Linked DNA regions of Drosophila melanogaster. The protein of the gene in region 3 interacts with the protein of the main gene of each other region in a biochemical or structural test. Each region holds a gene or a part of one and is shown on either strand. Other genes may lie near its edges.

Evidence for each region. Proteins that work in one complex are often made in the same cells at the same time.
Region 1: the proteins of tamo (region 3) and Ran form a complex in vitro, tested with the Drosophila melanogaster proteins (one study listed by BioGRID).
Region 2: the proteins of tamo (region 3) and mbo form a complex in vitro, tested with the Drosophila melanogaster proteins (one study listed by BioGRID).

Annotation. Positions count from the first base shown.
Region 1 is NC_004354.4:11,144,347-11,150,576, reverse strand, and holds Ran (Ran), read left to right. Parts: upstream 1-1,996; 5' UTR 1,997-2,091; intron 2,092-3,980; exon of another isoform or gene 3,981-4,161; 5' UTR 4,162-4,199; coding exon 4,200-4,634; intron 4,635-4,712; coding exon 4,713-4,928; 3' UTR 4,929-5,725; downstream 5,726-6,230. Other genes in the region: Lint-1 (l(3)mbt interacting protein 1), read right to left, coding at 617-652, 726-863; CG15201 (uncharacterized protein), read right to left, coding at 5,882-5,963, 6,095-6,230.
Region 2 is NT_033777.3:12,675,982-12,680,676, forward strand, and holds mbo (members only), read right to left. Parts: upstream 3,072-4,695; 5' UTR 3,021-3,071; coding exon 912-3,020; 3' UTR 506-911; downstream 1-505. Other genes in the region: Gnmt (glycine N-methyltransferase), read left to right, coding at 1-24; CG43630 (uncharacterized protein), read right to left, coding at 129-275; Cyp313a4 (cytochrome P450 313a4), read right to left, coding at 3,394-3,554, 3,622-4,207, 4,267-4,393, 4,437-4,509, 4,669-4,695.
Region 3 is NT_033778.4:24,127,539-24,135,495, forward strand, and holds the start of tamo (tamo), read right to left. Parts: upstream 6,014-7,957; 5' UTR 5,459-6,013; intron 4,302-5,458; exon of another isoform or gene 4,057-4,301; intron 2,900-4,056; 5' UTR 2,862-2,899; coding exon 2,738-2,861; intron 2,676-2,737; coding exon 2,476-2,675; intron 2,411-2,475; coding exon 1,142-2,410; intron 1,076-1,141; coding exon 275-1,075; 3' UTR 1-274. Other genes in the region: Zfrp8 (zinc finger protein RP-8), read left to right, coding at 6,478-6,746, 6,804-6,888, 6,943-7,632; Naa35 (N(alpha)-acetyltransferase 35), read right to left, coding at 7,689-7,829, 7,892-7,957. UniProt on the Drosophila melanogaster protein: Has an essential role during oogenesis and embryogenesis, perhaps in modulating the levels of nuclear import of additional proteins. Modulates the nuclear import of dorsal (dl), Dif and male specific lethal 1 (msl-1).

The DNA of each region.
Region 1 (6,230 bases), on a different chromosome or scaffold from region 3:
CTGCACAGGTGCTAATGGCCATTAAAAACGCTAATGACCACAAGCACTGAGCAAAAAAGGGAATACATTTCAATCACAAATGAGGTTGAGATTGATGGATAAGGATGCACGTTGGAAAAATATTGAAATAAAGCGGCATTAAAGAATATGCGCATTAATGCTGTTAAGAAATCAGCAATATTTGCTCATATAGATGATGGATTTCGTCATATACATAATTCTCATATGTCTTCTTTTCAAAAAAAAGTGAAAGTAATTTCGAAAAAATTCAGAGATGCGAACGTGGTTCCTTTGGAAATGAAAACATTTGACCCAATTTTTGTGCATTATTAGTTTTGCTTAAAACGCAGTTGCCTCTTTCATGTTTCTAACCCAACTCTAGAAAATTATCGCGAGTACATCAGTTTCTTTGAAATGAAAAAACTAAACTAAGTACTACGTTTCATAGCTTCATCTACATACAGTTCTTTGTTTTGGTTTTTTTTTTGGTTGTGTGTAGTGGGAGGGGGGTTGGGTGGTGTTCTACGGGCGAACACCTTCACCCTGGGGAATCGGGAATTCTCGTGGCGTAGAGAACAAAGGACAAAGACTTGCAGTCTTCTGGCATTAAACCCACCGCATCCGCCTGCTCATCGAAGACCTCCGAGACCAACTGCGTAAGTGAGAGAACAGAGACAAAGGAAACAAATTAACTGGTGTTCGCCAAGGAGCCATGGTGCACTTACCGCGTGAACCTTGAGGAAATCGCGCAGCGATCGCTGGCAGTAGATGATGTCGTTCTTCAGCTCCAGCGGCAGCACGTAGTACTTCTCCATGTAGTACCTGAACTTGGCGTACTTGCGCTCCTTATGGTACTTGCTCATCTTGTTCCGATTATATTGACGCTATATATATAACGACGGTTATCGTACGAATCACGCACGCGACTGATTTCGGATGCGTTGCAATTGATGCACTTGTGGGAATTTTGGGCAAATTTTCGAAAGGGAGTGGGGTGGGAATTGAAACCGAATGTGGTTAGAAAATGTGATAGATTGATCACTACATTCGTAACTGATATCTGGCCGAGGAACTTCGCAATTTAAGATAAAAATGTGTTGCATCAACTGGTGGCGTTGCCAGATAGATGAATACATGTGCTCGTTCTCGTAGCGAATTTTTAATCTTAATATGCGTTTAATTATGAATTTGGAGAAATAAGGACGATGTGCGTCAATAACTTCGATGACGGAACGGTGGAATTTTTGAACATGGGGAAGTTTTTTAAAAATTAATTTTTCGTTATTTAGTGTTCCAAAATGCACGCAAGACCATCAAATTAGCGTCGATGAGTTAGAGTCGATGGCGGAACGGTGAAATTTTTGAACATTGGAAAGTTTTTTATTATTTTTTTTTTTTTTATGGGTCAAAATATGAACAAGCCTATACAAAAAAGTACCCATGAAAGTCATTTATGTTTGGTGTTGTTGACAGAGCGTGTTCCGGAATGCCGTGCTTATAGGCTTATGTAGGCCTAATTAAGTAATGATCCTTAAAAAATTCATCAAAAATTTATCTACAGTTTTGCAGAAAATCGTCTACAAGTGGAAGGAGTTTAAATGCCACCTTCTCCAGTACTACAGCCAATAAATATCATGAACCGCCCTATTAACGATAAGAGTTCTCCGCTGACTTTATTTTATTATTATTTATTTTATTACATTGCACTATTATTTATATTTATTATTTAACTCAGCTCACAGAGCGTATTCCGTCGTACGGCATCTCAAAAGTTTCGTAATTTTATTTATTATTTATTCAAAAAGTTTCATTACAATTTGATAGACAGTTTTTTTTTTTGTTACTACACGTGTTCTGTATATCTACTAAGCCATATATTTAATATATTATATTAAATAATTGCAAATGGTGTGGATGGTATATAAGTAAGCGCCAGAATTTGGAACCTCTCTATGCTCGCACGGTCACACTGGCCGATAACGAAAACATCGAGGCAACAGCTATACTTCATTTATCACTCAAATCTGGCAGCACTGCATTGTGTTTCGGCAAAAAAGAAAGTTGTGGTTTTCTAGGAATTTCGAGCAAAATGTAAGTAGAACTACAAAATGGGCTTTAAATTGTGTGCAAATTCGCTGCCAGCCTGGCTAATTCGCCACCGTGATGTGAATAAGTGCTGTGCGGCATGACGCCAGTGACGCCCCAAATTCGCATGCAATATGGACGACGGCGTCGCTTCGCCTGGAATTGTGTGCTTTATTCCCGACCCAGCGGCTTTTGCTGTCTGTCCACCCGGCCACCGCCCACCCGGCTTCCGGCCACCAAGTCCAGCCGGTTAACAAGCCCGATTGCCGGCTAGAGTTGTACAAAACAAGTGGCGTATAGAGCTTCCAGAGATTTCGCTGACAAAAAAAAAAGAAAAACGACGTGGTGCCGCCTCGTGCTGTTATCCCTCCTTTTCCGGCTCATGGCAAGCTCTGCAGTGGAAAAGCGCCGTCCAATTGGGACTGTCAGCTCCTCCGTACGCCACACCGAAGCAGGACAAATGTCCTTGTCCTTTGGCCATCGGAACATTCTCGCCGACTGCCATGCCATTCGCATTTTGTGAGGTTAAACATGAATCGCAAAAAAAAAAAAACGGCAATGAATTTGCTTCATGTTTCTTCTGCCGGCGGCGACGTCGGCGTCGTCGTCTGTCTGCGTCTGTTCGTCGTCCGTGTGCGTGTGCATGTGTGGGTGCGTATGTGTGTTAGAATTCGATTTGTTATTTAGAATATATAAATGCGATTGGCGATTTTCACGTGAATCGCGACTGCTGCGCTGTTCGCCAGCCAGCAAATGAGCTAAGAAAACGCTGCACTATTTGTATGTCGGCATTTTTATTTTTTGGCGCGCTTCGCAGCGTCCACAGGTTCTCACCAATACGAGTGCATGCGTGCGTGTGTGTGCTTGTAATTTGCCGGCGTTACAGGCGGCACTCAAAATAAGGAATTTTCCTGCTTTTATGGGCAGCACCAGTGGTGTGATGCGCAGGAATTTCACAATCTTGCCATCCTTAAAAAGTTACTCATTTCAGTCTCCAAAAGGAATGAGTCATCAAATGCCTTTTTCAGCGTTTTACGAAATATATCCATTCAAATTATTCACCTCATTTCAAATTGATGAAACTGATCTTGATTCATGCTGAAAATATGGTCATCTTTATTGATGAACTTGGTAGTTTGCTTTAATTCTTTTAAAAAGTACTTCTATTTGCTATATGGCCATTTCATTCAAAACCTATATTTACCAATATTTCTTCTCTATAACTTCTTAAATTTGTATATATCTTTGATTACAGTTCGCAGTAAATCATAAACAAATGTTATGCTATATACAGTACAAACACAATAACGCGATCAAGTTTCTTTAGTATGAAAATTTTGTTTACACTGCGCTTTTCTTCGAATGTTTTGAATGTCTCCAATTCTACGCTTAATATTCCGAAACTTATGCCAAGCGTTTATGCGCGCTAATTATTTGCGAACAGAAATGTCAGCATTTATTATTCACTTTGGTTTCCTATGCTCGGGTTTAAATTAGTATTACCCAGGTCAATTGTGGGTCAGAGCCGCCGTGGGTTTTCCGGGTCTCCTTTTGTGTGGCAAACTGTTTTGGGCTGCGCATAAACGTGGTGGGAATGTATGTGTGCGAGTATGCAGAGTATATCCTTCCGCCTCCCTGCCGCCTTCTTGTTGTTGTTGTTGTTTGGTGCGCCTGGCATTTCTGCTTACCTGCACACACAGCCAGCCATACCCTGTGGCCATCTCGCTCTGGCTCGGCATCTCGGCCTTCTTATCCTTGCGGGCTCAGCGGGAGCGGCAGCTGCAGTGTCCTTTGTCGTTATCCTGCTCGCTCCTCGCCGAACAGCTGGTCGCCGTCCTTGGCGGGCTTTGACGCATCCATTGTGCACGTCACATTTTGGACGGCTCGCAGGACGGGCAGTCAGTCGCCTGGCGCTCGCCGAACCAACAACATCCTAGCCAACACATTCCGCTCCTGTTCCTGTTCCTGCTCAAGCTCCGCTATATATATATATATTTAAATATATAAAGTAGCATAGTAGTTGCAAGTTGCTAACCAGCCAAACGCAATTGTTCCATCTGCAGCTCACCGTTCCAGAAATTTTGCATTAACGAAGATACCGAGTGCTTAGAAGGATGGCTCAGGAAGGTCAGGATATACCCACATTCAAGTGCGTGCTAGTCGGCGATGGCGGCACCGGCAAGACCACCTTTGTCAAGCGGCACATGACCGGTGAGTTCGAGAAGAAGTACGTGGCCACACTGGGCGTGGAGGTGCATCCATTGATCTTCCATACCAATCGTGGCGCCATCCGTTTCAATGTGTGGGATACCGCTGGCCAGGAGAAGTTCGGCGGGCTGCGCGATGGCTACTACATTCAGGGCCAGTGTGCCGTCATCATGTTCGATGTTACCTCGCGTGTCACGTACAAGAACGTGCCCAACTGGCATCGCGATCTAGTCCGCGTCTGCGAGAACATACCAATCGTCCTCTGTGGCAACAAAGTCGATATCAAGGATCGCAAGGTGAAAGCGAAGAGCATCGTCTTCCACCGAAAGAAGAACTTGCAGGTAAATAAAGAAAAGCTGAACTTTTATTTGAAATTTTGTTAACGTTATTGTGCTTGTGCCTTCTTTTTTGTCAAACAGTATTACGATATTTCTGCCAAATCGAACTACAACTTCGAGAAACCATTCCTTTGGCTGGCGCGCAAGCTGGTTGGTGATCCCAACCTGGAGTTTGTCGCCATGCCAGCCCTGCTGCCGCCCGAGGTTAAGATGGATAAGGATTGGCAGGCGCAGATCGAGCGTGACTTGCAGGAGGCCCAGGCGACCGCACTGCCCGACGAGGACGAGGAGCTATAAGCCTATTTGTAGTTAACTTAGAGCGAAATCCGACTTGCGCGAAAACACAAACACACACACACTCAAACACAAAACCACAACACACAACACCACACCGAACATAGAACACTGAATCACAGGCACCGTATGAAAAGGCGTGGCAAGAGGGAATGAAGGATTACGGATTAGAGGAAGTAGCATTAGCAGTAGTGTACTATCCGTACACTATTGGATTTGCCAGCCTATGTTCTTCGATCGATCGTTGGGAAAATCTACAAACAAGCCCTTCTTAATACGTCGATTGTATTTAAATTTTAGATCCCCAATTCATTAATAAGTCGGTTATAATTGATTTTTTTTTTGTTTGTTTCCTTATACGTTGGCTCTTGGAAAAAAAGGAGTAAGTAAGTAGTATTGTCATTAAAGTGCTAAAGCAGCAGGCAACAGCAACTTAATCGAAAACCAAGAGAAATAAATAGTCGCAGAACGTATTTTTTTAAAACTTGCAACACCAATGTTCTTTTCCACCCAAAAAAAAAAAGGAAGAAAAAACCAAGTTACTTCAACAAAAGTGTGAATGTTAGAAACGAGCGAGACGGCATGCTCGGAGCGAGCGAGAGCGCAATAGCTGGCCAATGAACTGAGTCCCCCCAAAGGAAAATTAATACTATTGAAAAAAGAAAAGAAAGGAAAACACTGGAAACTATGAGAAAATAACCTATAGACAGGCCGCCGAATTCGCATCCACATGTTATTAATCTAAGAACTAAAGAAATAAAAAATAAACGTCGAAGAAAAAAAAACTAAACGAACGGAGCTGGATTTGCATTTGAAAGATGATAAGGAAATGATGCTAGATTATAGTTATCGCATACCCTGTAATTGAATGGGTAGCACATATATTCCGTTAGCTAATCGTCTACTGTTTACATTTCTACATTTGAATACACTGTTCTTAATGAAACTCCTCGGATTTAGGGACACTTGAGGCAGCAGGCAGGGAAAACTCCGGTGAAGCGATCCTTGTTGCCGCAGGTGACCTTCTGCTGTCCACAGCTGAAAAAAAGATATTGTAGATGGCTTGGTTAGAATCATGTGGAGATCGGGGCAAAGTTCAGCTAGGAAATATTTTGTTTTCTTCATGCAACCTAAGTTGCTAATTAAGATCGCTGTCATGATGCACTTACTCCTCCACGATGGTCTTGAAGGTGTCCGTGCAGATGGCCCGCTTGAGGCACTTGCCATCCTTGCCGAAGTCCACGTAGTCCTGTCCGCGTCTCAGCAGCGGCAGATACTTGAGAAAGATGGTCTCATCCTCCGAGT
Region 2 (4,695 bases), on a different chromosome or scaffold from region 3:
CTGATCGAAAAGCCACAGGTTTAGATTTAAGTTTTTAGTTGTATTCACATAAGGCCACAAGACACATCCATATAAATATACATAAAGTTCCTTCGATTCGCACAGTCTCGAGTCTCCTCAGTTTTCTTCTAAACCATTATGCAGAATCGACCCACGATGGAGCCAAAGCACAGGGTCACCATGGCGGCCTCGATCACGAACGGGAATTTGGCCTTCACGTAGTTGAACATCCCGGTGTAGATGTTCGACAGGGCAGCCAGTAGTATCAACGTCATCTCTCGTCCGCCGAACTTCGCTTTAGACTGTCACTAAAACGCAATAGCTATCGAAACCCTCAATTCTTGGGGCGAGTGTCATTAGCCTTGCAAATGCTTTTCCATTACGTTTTCAATGGGTTCTGCTTTGCAGAGAAAATGAGTAACGATCGAAATGCGATACTTTAAAAACCAAATACTAGAAAAATTTGTGGTATTCTAATAACAGTGGAGCTGAAAGTTGGAAAACTATGTTACAGCAGTACTACAATACTTTGTATTTCCGAATTATGATGTATGAAGTCTACTATTATTATTCATTATTTTATTCTTATTATTATTTTATTACTATTATTTTACTTTTTGAACTATAATCCGGAAAATGGGACAGTACGTCAAGAATAGATTTTACTGTAGTAGACTTTGTAGCACAATACCCATGGGTATCAAATGTTTTTGTGTCTTCATGAAGGATCGTCTAGCAGAAAACGCTGACGTATGCTCATTAAAGTGTCATCGAATACAAAAAACAGAAGCCAGCTAACGAAAATAGGACTTAATTGACATGTTTATTAAAAATACGTTTTAGTTCTACGCAACGGCTTTACTATCACGAAAACGTGGTGAAATCTTAAGAGCGTGCTTCCCAATCCGAATTTAGATGCCAACGATTTTATTAATGCGCTTGACGTCGGTGATCTGGCGATCGATCTCCCCGGTTAGCTGGGTAAGTATCTCGGTGATAGTGCGGTGCTGTTTCTCCGGCAGCTCGTACGCGTTCTTCTTGAGGTCCTCTTGACTCTGGGCAATGTGGTAGCGCTGCTTGTTAAACGTCTTCTTAGCAGTCTCCAGTCCAGCGGCCAGGCTCTGGGTGACCTTATTAAGTCGAATCACCTCCTGCGAAAACTCCCGTTCCGCAATCACACTATTGGGTAGTGAGGCATTGGCCCTCTGCATCAGAGCGTTGCACTTGCGGACGAGCAGCTCCTGGTTGTAGCTAATCTCCTCGAAGCGCTCGGCAAGCTTGTGGGCCCGCTCGCTGATCAGTTCGCGTTCCTGCTCCAGGTCTTGGATCTCCTGCAGCTGTTGTTCCTTCTTCAGCTGGATCTGGTTGATGTGGCGTGTAAATGCGGCGCGCACAAGGTCATGTCGTTTAAGGTACTGCTCACGAAGCACCTCGATTGCCTGGTTAAGCAGTTCGAAGCTCTCCTGGGCGGATGGCGAGGAAAGTTTATCCGCCAAGATGGGCTGGTTAACACTACGTTGCAAAAGCGATTTAATCGTATCGACAAACGGTGGCCCACTTTCCTGCTGAGACACTTCCGAGTCAACTGGCTTATTCTCATTAGGTGTAACCAACAGCTGGGCATCAATTACCAGCTTAAGGCTAATCACCTGACCGCTGCCCAGCAGTAGAACTATACCGGCAGGAATTTGTAATAGGGCAAGTCCAAAGACTGCGTTCACCGTCTCACTGGAATCGAATTTTGTGCACAGAATGTACTCTGCACTTGCAGAGACCGCCAGCTCTAGACGATCTTCATCGGACTCGCTTTCCAAGTAACGTTGCAGCTCTGCGATAAAGCTGACCGTAACGGCATGAAGTCCTGCGTTGTGGTAGGCAAAGTAGCGAAGCTCATTGATCAAATCCCGCTTTAAGTATATGGGACAGTTGCCTCCTTCTTTTCCAGTTGCGGGTGCAGATATTCCCAGCTCAAGTTCGACAGTTTCTAGTACATGTACAACGTATTCGGCGGGTTCAATCAACACAGAGTCGTCAACCTCATTGAAAGAATGCTCAGTGGCCTCCGCCTCCATAAGCAGAGCATGGTGAAGCTTTCCATTGGATTCAGCTATAACAATGGTCGGCGGAAGTGATGGGATAATCATTAGGGCACAGGACTCCAGTCCATAATTGTCATGTGCCTGTGGCGTTATGGTAACGGGGCCCTGCAGGCGCGTATTCTCCGAATCCACGCCGGTCATCAAAATGTAGATGTTTCCATTCTCGCGGAGCACAACCATGGGCCACTCTATCCTCTCCTGTTTCGGCAGCGATTTGGCCGCCACAAGGGTTTTGTTGCTCTTATCCAAAGTGGTTTCGTTATTGCCGGCTGTTTCTGGTTCAGTGACACGTGGTTTTGCAGCAGGAGCGATGTCAAAGTCAACGGCTAGCTCGCCAAAGTCGCATAGCGAGTTATTGGCCCCACTTCGAAGCACCGGGGGACCCACCTGCCACACGTGGCGCAACTTGGAGTGATTGTACACTCGAATCGTGTTGTTGTTGAGCAGCACGAGCAGCGTGGAGTCTGACACGGAGTGCGGATGCCAGCGGACCTGGCGCACTTCCAAGTGCGGGTTTTTTAGGAAAAGCTGAGTGTCCAGGCCGAACGTGCGGCAGGTGATCACTGGCTTGCCATCCTTGTAGTATCCATCGGGGCCCCAGCGGCGGGGCAGCTCCATTATGACAACGCCGCGCGGTCCACTTAGTGCCACGAGGGAGCCCTCGTTGGAGGCCAGCACGCGGTCCACCTCCAGGCTCACCAAGCTCGATGGAATCAGTGTCTGGAACTGGATATTCACCTTTGCCGCCAGCGATGAGCGCCAGTTGCGAACCAACAGACAGCTGTCCTTCGCGTGCCAGGCAAAGAGCAGATCGTCCTTGCAGTCCAGCAGGTTCTGAGTCCTTTGCACCACGGGCAACCCATTGCGAATCTTCGCGAACAACTCCGTTTTGTTCAATTCCAAGACATCGGTGAGCGACATCGTTTGTTTATGCTTCAATTCGTTGCCCGGCTTGTAAGTCAATGCTAGTGTGATAGTAGTCTTCGGAAATCCGCAAAGTATTTTTTTTTAGTATTTTTTTAATTCGAATTCATGAAACAAGAAATTTGTTAAAAAAACGCTAACACCAACATTTTCGGAAAATGTACTAATAATTATTGCTGCTTAAACTTTTCAACGAAAGACGTTAGCATAAATCATGCTATAAATTTAAAAAATGGAATAATTGATTAATAGTTAATAAAAGATTATAAAAGGTAGATGTTATTATTTTTTAATATTGGTATAATTCACAGAACCCATTAATTCAACAACTTTTAATAATCTATTTAAAATCACTAAGTGCTATAAACATTTAAGTTCTCTTTTGGAGCTCCAACAGTGGCACAGATTTCAACTTCATCGTAATATCTTCAACAAAGTATAGATTTTCGAAGGGAAAACTCGTTTTAAACCTATAATTCCGCAATAACTTGGCTAATGTAACTTTCGCCGATATTAAGGCATATCTCCAACCTAAACAGAAGGAAATAATAAGAATATAGCTAAAACAATGGTCATAAATTAGCGATCACTCTGTTACCTATGCAATTTCGAATGCCCTTGGTAAAAGGTATATAGGCGTACGGATGCTTGTCCTGGATGTTGTGGGGGAGGAAATGATCTGGGTTGAAGGTCTCCGCATCCGGACCCCAGATCTTTTTGCTTCTGTGCATGTGATAAATGTCGATGGCGATCTGGACCCCTTTGGGAACCACTATACCATTGGACAGCTTCAGATCCTGAGACGTTTGTCGGGATACGACAGGAACAGGGGGTATTACTCTCATGGATTCGTTGAGGATCAGGTCAAGGTACACCATCTGCTGGGTGTCCGCGTAGGATACATCAAAGTCTCCTGTGTTTGGGAATATCGTCTTTATTTCCTCAAAGGCCCTCTCCTGGTATTCCGGAAACATCGCCAGCAACATCAGGGTGTAGTACACTGCATTAGCCGTGGTCTCAAAAGCTCCAAAAACGATGATATTCGACTCATCCTCAACATTCTTCAGGGTAAACACTCCTCGTCTCATCAAATCCGTGACCAGATTTAGAAATAGGTTTTTATCATTGGACTGGATGGAAGGTAGTGCTCCCATTTCGTCCTCGGCCAACTTTCTCTCAATTATCTAAAGGGGTTAAGAGATTCGTAAGTGAATAAGCGGAGGGAGTAGTTGGAGGTGCTCACCTTCCGAATAAACTGACGAATCTCAGTTTTGGCCTGGTAGTAGTGCGATTCCTTTCCAGCCAGCTGCCGGCAAAATCGGCTATTGAGCCACGGAGAGAAGCACATATCTGTCATGGTTTCCAGGATGCTATTAATGGATAGATGCATTCCGATTCCAAGTCAAAACTCACCATTGGTATCGCCCCAGCAAGGAATTGCTCCTGAAGCTCTCTTCATCCTTTACATCGCTGCCCATGGTGGTTTCTGCTTTCATATAAGTATATCATATATTTAATATCAGATCGACTCTTCTAACTGAATTATGCATTCTGGCTTTCGACCACTTTGTATGCAAACAACAAACGTGATAGCCATAATTTATGAGTCTTTTTTTAAACAAACAACACATTCTTCTTTACTCACGGGTGGCAATTCCCAGGGTGAAGCTCT
Region 3 (7,957 bases):
ATCTAAAACTAATTAAAGCGTGTGTTTACGAGTAGGGGTAACTAATTAGAATACTTCGTATGTACAGACTGCAGACCCATCCCGTCTGCAGCGCCATCCGCTCATCCAAGGAGCCGAATGCGGATGACAAAGGGCTGCCTGCCATCGAACGACGACTTCGATCGAGACTAGATCTTAGAGACACGCGCACAGGCTTACATTGGTCGTATAAAAAATATATGAAGCTATACACTGTTTGTATCACTAACGAGGGTTCCGTTGCATCCACTGCATCCTACACGCAGGTCGAGGATGCGTGCGACACACTGGCCGCTGACGCCGCAGCTGCAGCCGCCGAGGAGGAAGCCGCCGATGCGGCCTCCAGGTTGAAGTCCTTGCTGCGGCAGCACATCTCGCAGATGCGCTTCGTGTCCGGATTGAGGAACGTGCAGAAGCTGCAGCTCCACTCGTTCGGACTGGTCACAATCAGCTGGGGAGACACATTCGGCGGCTGCTTGGGCACAGCTCCTGTGCGTTGCCTTGACCCGGTTCCCCGATTGTCCACGACGGCCGTCTTCAAGGCGGACTTGACCTTCTTAACGCCGGCACTGCTGCTATTGGGCAGAGGACTGGGTGCAGGAGCTTGCACCACCTTAGCCTCGCGTCGCCCCGTACCGGATTTTTTATCTAGCGTTCGCGCCTTCTCTCCGTTTGTGGGATTCGTGGCCTCACGGCGCTTCTCCGCCGGAGGAGCTGCACCGCCGTTCGTTATGGACAGCGAGCCTAGGTCCAAGCTCTGCACCAGCAAGTCCTCGCGGTCACCCAGGTCCTTTGTGTAGCCCGATCGCTCGAGGTTCTTGAATACATAGTTCCAGGACTCGAAACTGCCGACACCCTCCTGCACTTTGGGCATGAGAGGCGGCGAGCTACTACTGTCCAGGGCCACAAATCCGTCCAGACTAGCCGAGTCGTAACTGTTCAAGTCCGAAATGGTGGTGGGTATATCACGTTCAGTGCCGGACCTCTTGGCCGGTGCAGTCCGACTATTCCGCTCCTTCAATTCCTTGTGCATCTTGCGATTATTGTCCATGGTGCTCTGTTAAAAGGAGTAGGCAACGATATGTAACCATTATATAAGTATGATGATGTTGTTAGAACTTACTTGCTTTTCCGCTGATCGCGGATGTTTGTCAGTCGAATTAATGCCACCCGCCTCGGCCAAAGCCCGCATACGGCTGCTCTTCGGAACCGGCCGCGCATAGATGTACATATCCTGGCCGGTCGGCGGCGGCGCTTGCGGTAGCGTGGTGGGCAGGTCGTAGCCCCCGTAGGTGGCATACATGGCTACCGGATTCCCCCGCATGCTAGGCTGCACCTGACCTCTCAGCTCGGCATACTGCGGATCGTAGTCATGCGTCCCAAAGTCATGCTGGGTCAGATGCGCTCGCTCGTCAAAGTCGATGAGGTGGTGATCCGGCGGATAGGTGCTCTGACGGTGCTGCATAGCCGCCAAGGCAGCAGCGGCAGCAGCAGAAGTGTTCGGCTGGCGACGGTGCAAATCGCAGCTGTGGGCTGGGCCCGTCTTTCCCAGCGTGGCGTACATGTTGGTGTGCTGTCCATTGCCATAGAAGTCGGCGGGCGACGCATACGGGGCATTCAGCTGGCTGGAGATGTTGTACGGCAGCGGATAGCGGTTTCCCGGTGCATTGTAGGCTCCAGTCACGGCAGCGTAGGACGCACTGCTGCCCATGCTCAGGCCATCTAAGCAGTCATAGGGCGCCTCGTAGACGTGCGGCAGCTGGCACTGCTGTTGGAGCTGCTGATCGAAGGAGTGACGGTGAGGCAGATGGGCCTGCGGTTCCTGGTAGTGATCCAGGCTGCGAGAATGCGTCATCAGCGGACCAGGCAGGTGCGGTTGCTGCGGCGGAGGCGCTGGGTAAGGCGGCAGATACTTACCCGCCTCGTTCAGCCCATTGGGATGCAGGGCACAAGTGCCGGAACTGCTGGGATGATGGGCAACGTTGTTGCTGCGCATGCCGCAGGCAGTTGGAGCAGCACTCACCACATTGCTATATGTATTCTCCTGCATCGGTGGCTGCTCCATTCGTACCCGTTTCTCACTCAGCTGCCTGACCATCTCCTTGATGGTCGTGGAAGTTCCACCCACGTAACGCTCGCGGAACTGTAGGATGTCCTTCCAAGTGCAGACGTATCCCGCTGCCGTCACTCCCGCGTAGATGTGCTTCATAATCTGGCACTCCACGTAGGCGGCCATTGCGTCGCGCGAAACATTCGTAACCTGATCCGGACAGATGGGACCCTCGAGGACGAAGGTGTCCTCGGCAGCCCGGCGATAGCCCATGGCCAGGAAGAGCTGTTCGGCGTCCAGCAGGCGGGATTGGATGTCGTGCTGAAAGCATCCCGAATAGGTCTGCAGAAAGGAGGATTATTCAGTTAGAAGTGGCTATTTAGTATACGTCATCATCCTATATCCACCTTGAGAGTTCGATACTCCTTTCGCCATGGCTTCGTAAACAGATTGTTGGCATACTGGCTGATGGTCTCGAAGGCTACGATGGCGTTCTGGGCCGAAAAGTCGGGCAGCTCGAGCACAGACCTCCGCAGGACATGCCCAGTTTCCGGCAGAAAGAACTTGCGATCGTGCTGCACCACGCAGAGGAACTCCTTCAGGCAGCCTGTAAGCGCGGATTGATTAGTTCCATTTCCATTTAGGACAAGGACAAGGCGGCGAACTCACCCTCCAGCTGCTTGCGTTCCTCGAGCTTCTCTATGCTCTCCTCCGTCTCGAGAAACATCCAGTGGCGCCGGAGAATCTCATCCCACAGATCGGGGATGAGGTCGTGCGGCACGAAATCCGACATCTCGGGCTAAGGACTCTCATTCAAGGCGCCTCCGGCTCCTGCAAAACAAGAACACAAGGTTACACTACGGCGAACATCTCGAGAGCCCAGAGCGCGCCACCATGGCTATTGATTTTCCACCAGGGGTTGGGTGGGGATGCACTTCTCTGGCATGAATCACCAGAATCACATCCTTCCCCGCATGACGCACGCCGTCGCGGCATGCAGCAAACAAACAAATAAACAACCAACTGGGCTCGAATGGAGTAACAATAACTGGACAGATAAGAGCAAACAATAGGCTCCATTGGGGCCCGTCATCGATAGTGGCATTCCCGAGTCCTTATCAGTTTCCTCCCAGCCAGCGGAGCACCTAAGCAACCAGTACTTGCCCCTCGCGGACAAAAACAGTTGACAACAAAAAGCTCACTTGTGATTACGTCTACTGTGCTCCCCGATGCAGTGGAAGCTGATTCATTGGCTGGGAGAAAAGCTGTTTCAGGGGATTTCGTTTACAATAAATACAAATTTTTTTTTGTTAATAGAAATTACAAAGCTAAAACTATCACCATGACCAAACACTAAGTAGAGTCCATCTATGGGGTTTCAAACCAACTGGAAGCCCTTTATTATGATTGCTAGGTGGAGATCCAGGAAGACTCTGCAGCATACTTTGTTTATTTGCAAAGGCGTATCTAATCTAAGGTTTATTTTTGAAATAAAAGATAGCGAATTGTATAGAAATCAACTAAATGTGGGGCTGCTCGTAGCTTTGCTTCGGTGAGTCATAAGGTCAGAAATGCTAATCATGTACAATTTCCAGGCTTACCTAATATACGCGAAAATAAGTAGAGTAAATAAAGTGAGCGCAATAATGGAGCTCACTTGTTGTGATGATAATAGATAACCGGAAAGCAAGCTCCAGCCCTTTACTATCTATGAGCTTTACCTGGCAAATACTACTCCCAACTGGGTATCATCTGCTCGCTGACCCGAAGGAAAGCCCACAAGTGCTCGATAGGAACCCAGAAGCCTCGCGATTGCATCGCTTGCCCTTATCTCCCCCCTCGCCAGCCGGAGAACCGAGCCACTTGACTGGCTAACTCGATATTGATATCGGCTATCGTGGAGCCAGAGATCGTCCATTGGCCTTTGGCATTCGATACTGAGAACACCGGAGAGGCACTACGCTGAGCAACCTTGGGGAGTGACTCACTTGGCGTTCGGCGCTCCAATCAGAATGCGAATGAGCAGCAAGGCGGGCGTGGATAAACAAGTGTAGTGCAACTGAGCAAACGGCGAAGTGGTGACAAGAGGAGTCGAATAAACGCGGTGTGCGGAGAGAACAACATTGGCAGTGATAAGCGTATAATTATCAAATATATCAAAACAAACTTATGCAAGCCACATAAACTGACTTCCCTTCTCATCCTCTATAATTTATTTACTTATGCAATAATTTCGACGCTACACATACTGACAATTTCCTATTTAGTTGCTTGGGTTCAAGTCGTACATAAGCATATGTACATATGTACGTACATACATACTACTAGTTAACAACAATATTGAAATGGGAATTTAAACAGTCAGTCGAAGGAACGCACTGTCAACCGATTAATGAGCTGAGCATTACATGTATGATGTCCTGTAATAATGAATCAATTGAATATGCATGCAACTGATAGCTTTCCCAGTCCAGTGAATTTTAATTAATGTTTTCCAGCGCCGAAACAGCACACATTGTTGGTGGGAATGGGAATGTGAAGTGGGGGAAATGGGAAAGCGGGCCGAAGAAAGTGGAGCTTTCGTGGGAACCCATAAATTCAGCGGCCAAATGAAGCAAGATGATTGCAGGGCGGATTAAAATCAATAGCCAGCATGCAGGTGGAGCAAGTGGAGTGGGCCGAATGGCAATGAAGTTACTTATTTACTATGAGTACCACAGGCACATTCGCACTCAGGTGGTGATAAATTCATAGCATTTCGGCTGCCCGTCCGTCTGCTAATTGAATTTTCAATATTTATTGCCTGGCCAGGACACATAGCGTACATACCACTACCGAATGCCTGCAGCCGAGTGAAAATGCCCCTCGATGGGCAGAGAATTTATGTGCTGACATTACAATGGACGCAATATGGCAGGGATTTGAGGCGTTTATTGATTCAGGCAGCACTCCAAGTCGAAGTCGGCATCGAAGGCATCGATTGGCCAGGACGAGGATGGGCCATGCAACAGTTTCGGGCCATGTGCCCTGGACAAAGATCCACCGAACCACACACTGGCCGTCAGGGGCGATTATGCATATACATATACATATATATGAGTCTGCCTACCGGCAACCGATGGCAGGGTGCTCCCATTCTTATTTTCAGCAATGCGGCACTAAATTTAGCAAATAAAAGCTCACCCGGCTCGTTCTTTGGCAGCCAGAAAGCGAGCCACTGCCAGGGGCATCGAAGCGGAGATACCCTGTACCGGACACCTAATAGTTCCTACACAAACTTTTCTCTATGTGCACTCCATCAAACATCTGGTGCCTTCTTGTTCACTAGCTCGCAGCAGCGCACGTGATACCCTGTAATTCGAAACCAGGAAGCATCCGCCTTGGACTTACGCAAATTCCCAGTGGTCCGCTGGTGGCTCGGCTCTCATTTTTGCATTTTTCTTCGGAAAAGTCCGCGCGCTGGAAAAGTCAACACAAGTTCACCTCTCCAAATTCGTGCGTGGGTGTGGGCGGAAGGTGGTGGTAGGTGGATGGTGGGCGGGAGTGGGTGGTTGGCGATTCGAGAGGGGGCGGTGCGTGGGTGGGTTTATTTTTAGCGCTGCTGCGACGGAAACGCGACAAGTCGGAGATTCTGCTTCCGCAATGTTGTTGTTTTTGCAGCCGTTATTATTAACAAATATTACGCTATCCACGGGCTCTTCTTCTTGCTTGTTTGCGTTGACAAATCTCGTTGCGCTTTCACAATCACATCAAATCGTGGGAAAACTGGTTTTCCCCCCGTTTCTGAGCGGTTCACTCTTCGGTTCGTGATCGTTTGTGTCCGCGGGCAATGGAAAGTCTTTGTTTTTCACACGCGTTTATCACAACAGTAAATAAAATATCACTTTAGCCAGTTTAATCAACTCGGAGAGCAGAACTTTTAACCGTGAGAAATAACCGCATACTGAAGTGGCCAAAATCTGGGAAATCGCCATGGAGGAACTCGCGGAAAATACCAAATCCATGGCATGCAAGCTTTATTATCAGTGGCGTAGAAGAGGGGCCTTATCTGATTAATCCTCGCTCTATAATTTTGAACCGCTTGCCATTTTTAAGGGCTCAGGATAATGAGATTTGTTATTCTTCCAGATTAATGTCATTAAATTAAAATCTTATGTTTCCCCCTTATGTTTATAAGAGTAATCGCAAATATTCAATGAAGAAAAGAATATTTTATTTTATTGAACTGCCGAAATCAACAAATTAAACGAATGTAATTAATTTAAATTTTAAATTATAACACCCAAAAAGTGTGATTCCCCGAAAATATCAGTTATTATACAACGTTATTTCGGAATTTGTAGAGGTATTTTCTGGCGCTCCCGCTGCGGTCACACTGAACACGAGTTTCGTTTCGGAGATTGAAAGAAATGGAGATTGACTTGGGATTTGCGGAAAAGAGCGACAATGGCGCCTGGCTGAGCAACCGCTACTTTCCCAGCAAGCTGGGAGGCCAGCCCGCATGGCTGGAACTGGAGGCCTTGCCGCCCACGTCGCAGCTGCAGTGCAGCAAGTGCAGGGCACCCAAATCCTTCCTGGCTCAGCTATACGCTCCCTTCGAAGACGAGTACAACTTTCATCGGTCCATCTATGTGTTCCTGTGCCGGAATTCCGACTGCCAGGAGGCCCAAAATGCAAGGTAATCCCTTCTAGCTCTGAAAACCAACTTGCAACCTAATCTTACCCATCTTTCCAGCAATTTCACAGTCCTCAGGTCACAGTTGCCGCGAAAAAATAAGTTCTTTTCGGAGGAGGAGCCGAGCGACGTGGGTCAACCCCTGGTAGGAACAGCAGCCATATTTTCAGAACATACTCATCATAATATGTTTTCTTAGCCCGCCGTTCCCTGCCTAAAGAAACTATGCGCCGCCTGCGGTTGCCATGCTCCTCACGCCTGCAGCAAATGCAAGGCAATCCACTACTGCTCACCAGAGCATCAAAGGGCCCACTGGCCACAACACAAGCCAAACTGCGGAGCACCAGAAGTAGCCACTGAGAAGCCCTTAACACAAATCGTTTTCCCAGAATTTGAGATTGTAATGGACAGCAACCCCGTGGAGTCTGGCGAGGAGGACAAGGACGATGAGGCTCGCTTGGCGGAGTTCCAGGAGCTGGAGTCCAGCGGGAAGACGGGCGACTTGAGCAATGTTTCCGAGGCGGAGATGGACAAGTACTTCGGAAACTCGGCGGCCGCCGATGACAAGACCTTTCGTCAGTTCAAAAAGCAAACAGCAGCCGAACCCGATCAGATCGTGCGCTACAAACGTGGAGGCCAGCCCCTCTGGATCACGAATACCGTCAAAACGGTGGAGGACCAACTTAACAAGCTGCCCAATTGCATTGCTTGCGGAGGAGAGCGTCAGTTCGAATTTCAGATTATGCCGCAAGCGCTGACTCTTCTGGAGGACGAAAACCTCGACTGGGGCGTCCTGGCCGTCTACACTTGCGCCAAAAGCTGCCCCATCGACGGCTACGTGGAGGAGCTTCTCATCAAGCAGGACATTGTGGCGGAGGATCAGAGTTGACATTAAAATGCGTACATTTAAATTTTATTCTTGTCAATTACGAAACACGTGAACATTTACTTCAGCTTGATGATGGGGAAGTAGCTGTGTTTGGAGAAGTCGAACTCTGGCTGCCGCTTGACTTCCTTCTGGTGACCGCGAGCCAGCACATTCATCACCACAAAGTTAGTCCGTGCGATTTGCAGGAGGTCCAGCATCTGAAATTAAACGAAACGCATTTTAATCCAGGAAAACCAATTCAGAACTACCATTGACTTACCTCCTGATCTGGGTTTTGAATGCTTTCGAGAACATTGCGGGCCTGGTCAAAGTGCTTGGCCGCATA